3 linked regions of the Oryctolagus cuniculus genome follow. The protein of the gene in region 2 interacts with the protein of the main gene of each other region in a pairwise test. Links are inferred from orthologs where the notes say so. Each region holds a gene or a part of one and is shown on either strand. Other genes may lie near its edges.

Region 1 (4,146 bases), on a different chromosome or scaffold from region 2:
GCTCCAGGTGGGTGCCAGGCCAGTGCGGGCGGCTCGCCGGCTGGACACCCCGGGGCTCCAGGTGCAGGGCAGACCAGTGCGCGCGGCTCGCCAACTGGACACCCCGGGGCTCCAGGTGCACGGCAGACCAGTGCGGGCGGCTCGCCGGCTGGACACCCCGGGGCTCCAGGTGGGTGCCAGGCCAGTGCGGGCGGCTCGCCGGCTGGGCACCCCGGGGCTCCAGGTGCAGGGCAGACCAGTGCGCGCGGCTGGCCGGCTGGACACCCCGGGGCTCCAGGTGGGTGCCAGGCCAGTGCGGGCGGCTCGCCGGCTGGACACCCCGGGGCTCCAGGTGGGTGCCAGGCCAGTGCGGGCGGCTCGCCAGTTGGACACCCTGGGGCTCCAGGTGCGTGCCAGGCCAGTGCGCGCGGCTCGCCGGCTGGGCACCCCGGGGCTCCAGGTGCACACCAGACCAGTGCGCGCGGCTCGCCAGCTGGACACCCCGGGGCTTCAGGTGCACGGCAGACCAGTGCGGGCGGCTGGCCGGCTGGACACCCCGGGGCTCCAGGTGGGTGCCAGGCCAGTGCGGGCGGCTGGCCGGCTGGACACCCCGGGGCTCCAGGTGGGTGCCAGGCCAGTGCGCGCGGCTCGCCGGCTGGACACCCCGGGGCTCCAGGTGCGAGCCAGGCGGCCGGACAAACACAGGGAAGGAGGCCTGCCGAGGCCTTCTGCCCTGGACCGCGCTCGGACCACAAGGCAGCAGAAGGGACCGAGGGGGGCGGGAGCACTCCAGGGAGCGCGAGTAAACGGAGGCCGCCCGAGGAACGCCGGGCGCCACGCGGGACGCGGAGCGGCACCGAGGGCGGCCGCGGCCGGAGCTGGAGCCGCCGCCCTGCCCCGACCAGGCGACTCCGAAACCAGCCCCAGAAGGGAGGCGGCGGCCGGGCCAGGCGAGAGGCGCCGGCGTGCGCGCGTCTTGGACAGATGCGCCCACAGGCCAGGGACGCGAGGCCGGGGCCGCCGGAGGCCGACCCTAACGTCGAGGCCCACCTTGCGGGTGATGTTGTGCACGTAGGGGCAGGTGTTGCAGGCGAAGCGGTGGCAGCGCTGGCCCTCCTCCACGATCAGCCCGTTCCCGCAGCCGGGGCAGAACAGCAGCATGGCGGCGCCCTGGCCCGCGCGCCCCCACGGCCGGAAGCTCCCTGGCCGCGCGACGCCGACACCCCGCCCACCTCGACCTCACGTTGGTCCCGGCGGCCCCCGCCGCTAGCCCACCAATAGACACGCCGACCCTCGCTCCCAGCCGGCCCTGCGGCAAGCCGCCTCGCACTCCCATTGGTTGGGGCGCCCGCCCCGCCCCTTGGCCCGCCGGTGGTTGGACGTCCTCACGGAGGTGGGCCCAGTCCGCGTCCGTGCTCCGCCTCCCGAGCGTGGAGTGGCTGGGCCGGCGGCCGGCGGCTCCGGGCTGGCGACCGTGGAGGCAGCGGAGCAGGCCGAGGAGGCCGAGGGGCCCGAGGTGCCGGAGGAGGATGAGGACGAAGAGGAGACGCTGCCTCACTCGGAAGCGGTGGACGTGTTCCAGGAGGGTCTCGCCATGGTGGTGCAGGACCCGCTGCTCTGCGACCTGCCGATCCAGGTGCGCGCGGCCAGAGCGGCCACCTGCCGCCGGAGAGGTGCTGATGGGGGACTGCGGCCGGCCTGGTCCGGGCCCGGCGTGAAGGGGCAGGGGAAACGGTGCCAAACTTGATGCAGAAGGTTGTCGGTAAAGGACAGTTGAAGAATGGGAGCTCCGGCTGCTCCGCTCCCTTCCGGCTCCCTGCCAGCGCTCCTCGGGGAGCGGCGGAGGGCGGCCCAGTGCCTGGGGCCCGGTGAGGCTCCCGGCCCCTGGCTTCGGCGTGGCCTAGCCCTGGGTGCTGGGGCCGTTTGCGGATGGAAGACTCGTGTTTCTCTCCCCTCTCCTTCCTCCCCGCCCCGCCCCCGTCAAATAAGTAGATGCAGAGGCGAATTTCCTCTAAGAAAAGTGTTATACTGCAGTCTTATCACTGCCGTGTGTTCCTGCCTTGTGTATTTTGCACACATGCCTCCCACTTAGTCCAGGGCTCTGGCCTGGATCCTGGTGACCAGGGGCTCTTGGGCAAACTGAAAGGCCCAGCGTCTCCCTCCTCCCCCCCCAGCAGCCCCTGGGGGCTCACTCTCCCTGCTTCCACAGCCATTCGGCATGAAATAGAGAAGTCGGGTGGAACCTGAGACTGAGGTGCTAAAGGGAGCCCCTCCCCCGGCCCTCCATAAAGTTTGGTTCCGTTTGGGCTGATAAACAAAGCCAGGGTTCCCACTGCCCCTGCTTGGCGCTTTCTAGGTGACTTTGGAAGAGATCAACTCCCAGATTGCACTAGAATACGGCCAAGCGATGACGGTCCGAGTGTCCAAGATGGACGGAGAAGTCATGCGTGAGTGCCGCTCTCCGCTTCAGATGGTAGCGGGCCTGGCCGTCGGGAAACCCGCAGGCGGAAGCCAGGGCTGTGAATCCCCACCCCACGTCTTCTCCCTGCAGCTGTGGTCGTGGTGCAGAACGCCACGGTCCTGGACCTGAAGAAGGCCATCCAGAGATACGTGCAGCTCAAGCAGGAGCGAGAAGGGGGCATTCAGCACATCAGCTGGTGAGTGGGACAGCAGCCCCGTCACGGCCCGTCACAGGGGCCTGCAGGAAAGCTCCCTCCGCTGCTCTTACACGTCTCTCGTCATGTCACCCAGCTGAGCTGCTGATACCTTCACTTGGGGACACTTAGGACACTAGTGTGTCCAGAAGTGGCCTCCCCAGTGTCGGCTGGAGCACCGTCCATGGCCTACGCTGGTGACAGCTGGAGCACCATCCGTGGCCCTGTCCCTTCCTCAGACACTGCTGGCCTCGCTGTCCTGCTGAGTCGCGTGTCCTCACAGCAGCTCAGCACTGCCGTCTGTCTCCTTCGCGAGGTGTGCGGGGCCCAGCTGCCCCTCTGCCCCTCTGGCAGGCCCCACGGCACTGTCCCCCCGAGCTGCCGCGCTCGGCCTGCTCGGGAGTTTACCTGAGGCCCCCCGTGCAGGTCCTACGTGTGGAGGACGTACCACCTGACCTCTGCGGGAGAGAAGCTCACAGAGGACAGGAAGAAGCTCCGCGAGTAAGTCCAGGGAGGGGTCACGTGGTCTGCTGCCTCCGCGGGGCTCAGGAGATGGCAGGCAGCGGAGCAGAGCATGGGCACTGCTGGTTCTCTCCAGCCGTGGCTCAGGGCTGCACAGCTCGGGGCGACGCGTGCAAGTGAACCGCGGCCGGCTGCTCCTCTCGGGCCTGCGGGCGGGCGCGCACGCCTCACCTGTGGCTCACTCGGGGTCTCCCACACCCCTGCGGTGGGGACTTACACACCCACCTGCAGTCAGACACTGCGCCTTTTGTCCTTTCAGTTACGGGATCCGCAATCGGGACGAGGTTTCCTTCATCAAAAAGCTGAGGCAGAAGTGAGCCTCCAGACAAGACAGCCCTGCACCAGTGGCCAGGCTCCTCCTGGGCTGTGCCCCTTCACAGAACGGCTGTTGACGCAGCCTGGCCGTGCCCAGCACGAGCTGTCAGGACTGAGCAGCACGGGGTGGGGCTGGTTCTCCCCGGGAGCATGACCTGAGCCTGTTTTTACCCGAGGGTAAGCACCCGAGCCACCAGCAGACCCCCCGGGCTGTTTGGCCCCACCCACTGTACAGAATGAACTGTGTGCTGGGGGTCTGGCCCCACCCTCTGTGCAAAATAAACTGTGTGGTCTGGCCTGGCCCCTGTATAGAATGAACTGTGTGCTGTGGGGTCTGGCCTGGCCCCTGTATAGAATGAACTGTGTGCTGTGGGTCTGGCCTGGCCCCTGTATAGAATGAACTGTGTGCTGTGGGGTCTGGCCTGGCCCCTGTATAGAATGAACTGTGTGCTGTGGGGTCTGGCCTGGCCCCTGTATAGAATGAACCTGTGTGCTGTGGGGTCTGGCCTGGCCCCTGTATAGAATGAACTGTGTGCTGTGGGTCTGGCCCCTGTATAGAATGAACTGTGTGCTGTGGGTCTGCCCCCTGTATAGAATGAACTGTGTGCTGTGGGGTCTGGCCTGGCCCCTGTATAGAATGAACTGTGTGCTGTGGGTCTGGCCTGGCCCCTGTATA
Region 2 (3,529 bases):
TAGCAGATAATTGCTCAAGTAGTTGGGTCCCTACCACTCACTGAGAAAACCCAGATTAAATGCTTAGATTATGGCTTCGATTTGGCCCAGCCAAAGCTGTTGAAGGCATTTGGGGAGTAAATAAGTGGATAGGAGATCTCTGTCTTTTGAAGTAAGTAAAAATAGGTGAGCTAATTTTAAAAAAAATAATGTAATGGGGGAAAAAGACTACCAATTAATTTTTGGTTGTATTTTCTAAACCAGGGCTTGGCAAATTTTTTTCTGTAAGGGACCACATAGTATTTTAAGTTTTGTGGACTATATACACCCTCTATTAGGATTATTCCAACTCTGTTGCTGTACTGTAAAAAAGAGACTAGTTGGAAACAATATATAATGAAATGACTGTGGCTGTGTTCCAATCAAAATTTTTAAAAATAGATGACAGGGCCAGCACTGTTGTATACTGGGTAAAGCCACCACCTGCAGTACCAGCATCCCAAATGGATGCTGGTGTCCCAGCTGCTCCACTTCAGATCCAGCTCCCTGCTAATGTGCCTTGGAAAGCAGCAGAAGATGGCTTAAGTCCCTGGGCCCCTGCACCCACATGGAAGACCCGGAAGAAGCTTCTGGCTCCTTCAAATAACTCAATGAATGAATGAATAAATTAGTAAATATCAAACAAACAAAGGGTGATGGATGACACTGGCTTAAAAAAAAAAAAATCGGGGCTGATGCTGTGGTGAGTGGCCTAAGCATCCTCCTGCAAGGCTAGCATCCCATATGGGCACTGGTTCTAGTTCCAGCTGCTCTTCTTCTGATCCAGCTCTCTGCTATGGAAAGCAGTGGAAGATGGACTAACTGCTTGGGCCCTGGCACCTGCTTTGGAATCCTGGAAGAAGCTCCTGGCTCTTGGCTTTGGACCAGCTCAGCTCCAGCCATTGCAGCCAACTGGGGAGTGAACCAGCAGATGGAAGACCTTTCTCTCTCCCTCTCTCTCTCTGTAACTCTACCTCCCAAATAATAAATAAAATCTTTAAAAAAAATAAAAAATAAAAAAGATGACCAGCCAGATTTAAACCATTTCTTCCATGATACACTACAATTAATAATACCACCAAATAAATAAAATACAATTTCTTAGACAGTAAATCTGCAAAACATAATCTGTTTTCAGGGCAACTTTCAGGTACTGAGCTCAATTCATTCAATAATGAAAGCCTAAAAAAGTTTACAGGAGTGTTTAACAAAGAAGCAGTTACTCATTCCTAAAAATGGAATTCTTATATAAAATATTAGTCTGATGACAAGCAATATACTGTTGGGGATAAAATACCTTTTTTGATGAATCTTCCTTCTCCTGGTCCTCGGAAACCTGGTCTTGATCTCTCAGGAAAATTAACTGTTATGATAAAGTTTTCCCATTATTAAGTATAATTTGAAAAATAACATTATCAGTTAAAATTTGAAAAAAATGAAAAGCAAAATATATAACCTACATAAATATGAATCAATACAAAATACACTTACCGCAATCCTGCCACAGTTTGTGGAAAAGTAAAGTAGTTTTTTGTTTCTTTGATTTATTGCCGTAAGTATCTGATTAAAAAAGAAATGAAGAAAGCAGGTGAATCACCATGATTATGTTTCCTCTCCATTAATAAACAAACAGGCGTTTTATTTCAACAAGAATATGAAAATGCTTTAAATAAATGTACATAGTATGGACTTAGTAAGTATAAAAGTGTAAAGAATGTCCCAAACCAGTGGGAAAGAATATTTTATCGTGTAAAAATGTTTCAAATATTTATCTTGTTTGCTTCTAATACCTATAAGTTAACAACATCAACTAATAAAAAATGTTCTGATAAAAGAGCCAAAACAAAGACCAGTCTGAGTGGCAAGTTTCCCCTCTTTTAAAAGGATGCACAAGAGAAAAAAATAGAGCCTCAAAAATAAAACAGAAAATTTGATAAACAGCTCAAATACTCAAACAATTCCAGATTAATCAAACCTAAGAAACAGATGTAAAGCATGTAAAGGAAAAAAAAAATCAGAGCAGGTGTTTGGCAAAGTGTTAAGTTGCTGCTTGGGATGTCTGTATCCCTTATCAGAGTGTTTGGTTTGAGTCCTGGCTATTCCACTTCCAATCCAGGTTCCTGCTAATGTACACCATAGGAGGTAGCAGGTGATGGCCCAAGTAGTTGGGTTCAGGACCATCCATGTGGGAGACCAGAACTGAGCTCCAGGCCTCTGGCATTAGCCTGGTTGAGCCCTGGTTGTTGCAGGCATTTGAAGAGTGAAATAGCAGATGGAAGATCTTTCTCTCTGCCTTTCAAATAAAATGAGTATTTTTAAAAATAGAGGAATAGAAAAAAAATGAAAACTTTCAGGAAAAGAAACATACATTAATAACACGAGGTTTCAAAGAGTTCATGGAAAGGGGGCAGGTGTTTAGCCTAGCAGTTAAAGATGCTCGCATCCCACGTTGGAGTGCCTGGGTTTGATCGGTTTCCTGGCTCTAGCTCCTGACTCCTAGTTGTTAATACAGACACTGGGAGGCAGAAATGGGGGCTCACATAATTGGGTCCCTTCCCATGTGGGAGACCCAGATTGAGTTCCTGGTTCGGCCTAGACCCCAGCCCTGCCCCAACCATTCTGAGCATCTGAAGAGTGAACCAGCAGTTGGGAGCTTTCTTTCATTCAAATAAATTAAGAAATGTTTTAAAGATTGTTTTGAGAGGCAGAGTTATAGACAGAGAGAGGGAGAGGCAGAAAGAAAGGTCTTCCATCCGCTGGCATACTCCCCAAATGGCTGCAATGGCCGGAGCCAGGCCCATCCAAAAGCCAGGAGCCAGGAGCTTCTTCCAGGTCTCCCACGTGGGTGCAGGGGCCCAAGGATTATGGGCCACCAAAATGTCATACCTTTTTCATCTGGCAGATATCTAAAATCCATAGATTCACTAACTTCCTGGTCAGAAGGTCTCCGAAGCTGCATTTTTACCGTTACTGGTTCTGTGATAGCTTTGCAATATGGTGGAGTTTTGAAAACAATGGCTACTTGACGGTGTACATCAGCTTGTGAAAAGATGCCTTTTGCTTCCCAATCATTCAATACAAAACGAACTTCTATGTCATCTAGTAAATAAGAAACCAAAGAAATAACAAAGGGAAAACAAAATAAAATCCATCTATTAATCTAAAAACATTCTGAATTTAATGAACCAAAATACAAAAATGAAGTACCTTTTTGAACTTTGTCACAAAGTAGAAATATTTCATCTCCTCCTCTTACACTTCCGCAGTTCTTGTTTACACGACAAATCCTTAATTCTGCAGTATTTGGAGCACCTACAAAGAAACAATTTTTAAAATACGAGTTTCTACCTTGGTAAAATATTTCTTTTTGAAGGGGAGGACTTGAGGAAAACTATTTAAAGAATGTTTCAGCATACAAATAAAAGATACTAAACACATTAATCATCCACATCTGTCCCTTTCTTTTCTAACTGCTTCACCTAACTTGGTTTAGAGCTTTATGATGTTATTT
Region 3 (3,981 bases), on a different chromosome or scaffold from region 2:
TTATAAACGTGCAATTGTTAAGAAGAAACGACCAGCAAAGGCAGCGTTAAGAGCACAGGGTTTGATGTCATAGCTGAACTTAAGTCCTCATTCTGTGACTTTCCAGCTGTGTGGCTCTGCCCAAGTTCCTTCACCTCTAAGCTTTTGTCCATAGTGGTAGCTTAGGAATGATTACACCTGTCTCATCAGATTATTAGGTCTGAAATAACACACGTAAAATATCTAACACAGAAGAGACACTGAATGAGTCAAAAGACATTAATTATCACGATTATTAACATCTCATCAAACAGGAGGCTCACCCTTAGTTCCCTTATAAATGAACACCACAAAGTGCACGCGGGCAGTAGCTCTCGGTAAACGTGGGGCATCATTATTTTTAATTATTTTTTAATTTTAATTAATTAATTTTTTTTGACAGGCAGAGTGGACAGTGAGAGAGAGAGACAGAGAGAAAGGTCTTCCTTTGCCATTGGTTCACCCTCCAATGGCCGCCGTGGCCGGCACACATCGTGCTGATCCGAAGGCAGGAGCCAGGTGCTTCTCCTGGTCTCCCATGGGGTGCAGGGCCCAAGCACTTGGGCCATCCTCCACTGCACTCCCTGGCCACAGCAGAGAGCTGGCCTGGAAGGGGGCAACCGGGACAGAATCCGGCACCCCGACCGGGACTAGAACCCGGTGTGCCGGTGCCACAGGCAGAGGATTAGCCTAGTGAGCCGAGGTGCCGGCCGCATCATTATTTTTCACGGTCATTATTTCACCAGCCTCAGGATGAGCTCCATTTCCTCCTCCAGAGATCAGAGTGAAACCCACTGTGGCCTCCCATCAGGGACCTGACTTAGGGAGAGGCTAAAGGGCCCCGGCACAGAGACACAAAGGATATTCGAGAGAAGAAGAGGTCAAGGTTTTCAATGTGGTGCCAAGGGGCTGTGGACACAGGAGCACAGATGTCAGGGACCTGAAGCAACCCAAGCCCCTCGTTCCCCCAGTGCTCCCTCAGCTTTCTCCCATGCCCCGGCTCTGGCTGCCGCGCCCCAGGACTCACACTTGCTCCCCTCAGCAACGTGCACCAGCAGGTCCTCCTCCCCAGGGGGTGAGTCGCTGTAGGAGGCCTCTAGGCGCTGGTATTCCGTGTCAAACTGCGCCATCACCGCCGCCCCCTGGCCACCCGGTCCACCTGCCAGTGACAGGAAGAAGAAACCCTGATTCAGACCCAGGTGCCCCTGCATGCTACCCTGCCTCCCAGGCCAGAAGAAGAGAGACTCCTTGCGCTTTGTTTCTATACCACCCTCAGCGGCTCAGAGGCAGAAGAAGGGAAGAAACCCAAGCAAACAGTAAGTTTAGGGCGTTGGAGGCCTTAGCTCTGGCCAGCCATTCCCAGAGTCTTCACTGGGTGCCTACAGTGCCTTTCTGATCTGAATTCAGCATTTGCCCCTGGTGTTAGGGGGAGGGGGGCGAGGGCTGTGGGGTGGGGGCTGTTTCATCTTCTAGTCAGTGGAGGGTCCCTCCCTTTACCCCTTCTGAAAGCCTGGTTTCCCCAGAAACTAGCAGTTTGGAAGCATTCTGTAAGCAAAGGTTTGAGATAAGCACATGGCCCTACCAGCTCCATGGACAGTGTCTGCTCCACTCCAGCCCTCGATGCCCTGGCTCTGCCGCTGCTGGAGGAGAAGGCATCAGGCCCCAGAGGGTGGGGAGAGGGGCCAGAAAGGAACCCAACCTTTCCCCCCACCCAAGAACCACCAAGAGGAGGCCAAACCTGGGCAGGAAGCCTGCAGCCGGGGAAGAGGCACCCTTCCAGCCCAGGGCTAGGGGCACTTCGTCCGGCTATACTAAACAGGGCCACTCATTCAGCTCCAGGACCCCAGAGAGAAAGTCACTGACCCTGTAGAGACTGAGTCATTACCGCTCTGAGGCCAAGCAGCCCCCCTGGACCGCTCCTCCATTGCCTGACCTTGGCTTTGGCGATCAAGACCTGCTTCTCGGGGCCCACACCCCCCAGGGAAGTCTTCTGAAGAGGACCTCACTGGTCACCCCATTCCCCTGTGTCCACAGCACCAAAGACTCAGCAGGCGGGCAGAGCTGGACAGGAAGTCCTGACTCAGTGGACACTCCAGATCCTGGGTGGATCTGTGAGCTCATAGGATCCTGGAGCCGGGCAGGGGCGAGGTGGTACTTACCCAGTGAGGGTGGGCCCTGGGGACTGGGGATCCTGGCTCAGCCTGGCCTCGGTGGGAGTCCCTGGGTTAGTAAGAGCCCTGCTCTTCAGGAAACTTACCACTCACTGGGTCTGTGTAGACCCAGGGCCCATGGAGCCCCGGCAGGCAGGGCCTGGGCTCGGGGGTTCCGGCCGATGATGGGGGGATCGAGGCGGTCCTACAGCTGATACCCTGGCCGGGCTGGGCTGCCTCCCTACACCCAGCCGCCGAGACCCGAGCCCAGCGAGCCCCAGGGTGGCCCGGCCCCGGGCCCAGGGCTCGGTTCCCAACAGCGGCCAACCTCGAGCGCGGCCCCGCCGCCCACGCGCGCCCCCCAGCGCGCGCGCCCGCTATCAAAACATTTCGGCTGCGCGCCCCCACCCCGCCCGCGGCGCCCCTTCCCCCGTTACCCGCCGCGAGCTCACCTAGGGCTCCTCAGGCCCCCCAGGCCAGGCCCAGCCCGGGCCTTAGAATTTCAATAACCGGTCTCGCGTGTCACCTCAGGAACCGCGACCCGAGCGATTCCTGGGCTCTCTCTGTTCGGCCCAGCTCGGCCTGATCCGGAGCGCTAGGCCCGGCTTCTGCTACTCACTGTCACCCGCAGCCGGCCTGGCCAATGAACATAGGGGGTGGAGACACGACGGCCAATTCTCGGCTCCGGGGGCGGGACTAAAGGCTAGAGGCGGTTCTTGGACAATCAGAGGACCAATGCGGTGCTCTACGTGGGGCGGGGCTCAGGTGCGGGCGCCGCGGTTTGTCCTCTTCGCTGCTCCGTAGTGACGGTATTGTTGTGGTGTTACGGAATCCGGCTTTCGAACTGGAGACGTGCGTACGCCGGGCTCCCGGGACATTTGGTATGGCTTCAGAGGGCGGGGACGCGTCTACGCGGTCGGTCATTGCCGGGGCTTGTAGCACGAGGAACGGAGCGTGATCGGCTAGGCAACCGCGGTGATTTTAAATGTGCTGGACTGGATTGGGAGCTCCCCCATTTCACTCGGTGGTGGTCCGAGACCAGGGGTTTGAGAAAGCCGAGTGGTGTCAAGGATTTACCGCAGAGCCGATAGCAGGTGGGAGGGCCGAGGTGTGCCTTGCGGCGTCGGAGACCCAGCCAGCCAGGCAGCAGACGCGGCAGCTGGATCGAGCTGTTTCTTTCCCTCGTTCTGTTCCAGGAGCGGCTTCCAAACAGTTCCCGCTCAGCTATGTCGCCAGCTCCCGCTGCAGCTGCGGCCCCTGCGGCCGTCTCCCTGCTGGACCTCCGCGCGGACGCGCCGCTCCTCCGAGGCGTGAGCCTGGTGAGCCACGCTGCGGGGGAGGCTCTGCCTACTTCCTGTCCAGGTACCCGGGAAGGCTCGGGGTGGACTCCTGAGGCTCTGGCGGAGAGGGCTGGCTCTCCGGGCACACGTGCTTCCTGGCACTGCCCGGCTTGGGTGCTGGATTTGTTCACTGGGAGTTTCCAGCACAGCCCCCCTCAAACGTCTCCACATAAGACTCTTGCCATTGCTCATGTGTCATCGCGTTACCCTTACACTTGAAAAACACTTTAACATGCCTAGATGTATTTCAGATTTAACTGGACTCCAATCAAATCATTCCTTTTGGCTGAATGTAAAACATTTATTATTGCTTTCATACAACATTAGTTGTACATATTTTCTTGTACCTCTGTTGAGACAAACTGCCCAGTGTAATTGGAAGTGTAAGTTTAAAAAATGACATCTGAGAGGTGGCTTTTGTACAGTTAAAAATAATTTTATTTCCAAAGTAACCTTACCAGAAATTATTTTTC

The links.
Region 1: the proteins of REL (region 2) and SNRNP25 interact in binary tests that used the Homo sapiens proteins (3 or more experiments, as listed by UniProt). The two-hybrid records come from large-scale screens. The link is inferred for Oryctolagus cuniculus from reciprocal best matches to the Homo sapiens genes REL and SNRNP25.
Region 3: the proteins of REL (region 2) and ATG9A interact in binary tests that used the Homo sapiens proteins (3 or more experiments, as listed by UniProt). The two-hybrid records come from large-scale screens. The link is inferred for Oryctolagus cuniculus from reciprocal best matches to the Homo sapiens genes REL and ATG9A.

Annotation. Positions count from the first base shown.
Region 1 is NC_091450.1:34,568,568-34,572,713, reverse strand, and holds SNRNP25 (U11/U12 small nuclear ribonucleoprotein 25 kDa protein), read left to right. Parts: upstream 1-1,341; 5' UTR 1,342-1,573; coding exon 1,574-1,615; intron 1,616-2,335; coding exon 2,336-2,426; intron 2,427-2,530; coding exon 2,531-2,636; intron 2,637-3,059; coding exon 3,060-3,134; intron 3,135-3,414; coding exon 3,415-3,472; 3' UTR 3,473-3,784; downstream 3,785-4,146. Other genes in the region: POLR3K (DNA-directed RNA polymerase III subunit RPC10), read right to left, coding at 1,030-1,140.
Region 2 is NC_091433.1:141,782,759-141,786,287, forward strand, and holds part of REL (proto-oncogene c-Rel), read right to left. Parts: intron 3,331-3,529; coding exon 3,226-3,330; intron 3,118-3,225; coding exon 2,905-3,117; intron 1,579-2,904; coding exon 1,510-1,578; intron 1,382-1,509; coding exon 1,316-1,381; intron 1-1,315. UniProt on the Homo sapiens protein: Proto-oncogene that may play a role in differentiation and lymphopoiesis.
Region 3 is NC_091434.1:20,238,072-20,242,052, reverse strand, and holds the start of ATG9A (autophagy-related protein 9A), read right to left. Parts: upstream 2,806-3,981; 5' UTR 2,621-2,805; intron 2,540-2,620; exon of another isoform or gene 2,276-2,539; intron 2,239-2,275; exon of another isoform or gene 2,178-2,238; intron 1,659-2,177; 5' UTR 1,601-1,658; intron 1,178-1,600; 5' UTR 1,149-1,177; coding exon 1,046-1,148; intron 928-1,045; coding exon 884-927; intron 9-883; coding exon 1-8. Other genes in the region: tRNA endonuclease ANKZF1, read left to right, coding at 3,154-3,262, 3,365-3,487. UniProt on the Homo sapiens protein: Phospholipid scramblase involved in autophagy by mediating autophagosomal membrane expansion. Cycles between the preautophagosomal structure/phagophore assembly site (PAS) and the cytoplasmic vesicle pool and supplies membrane for the growing autophagosome.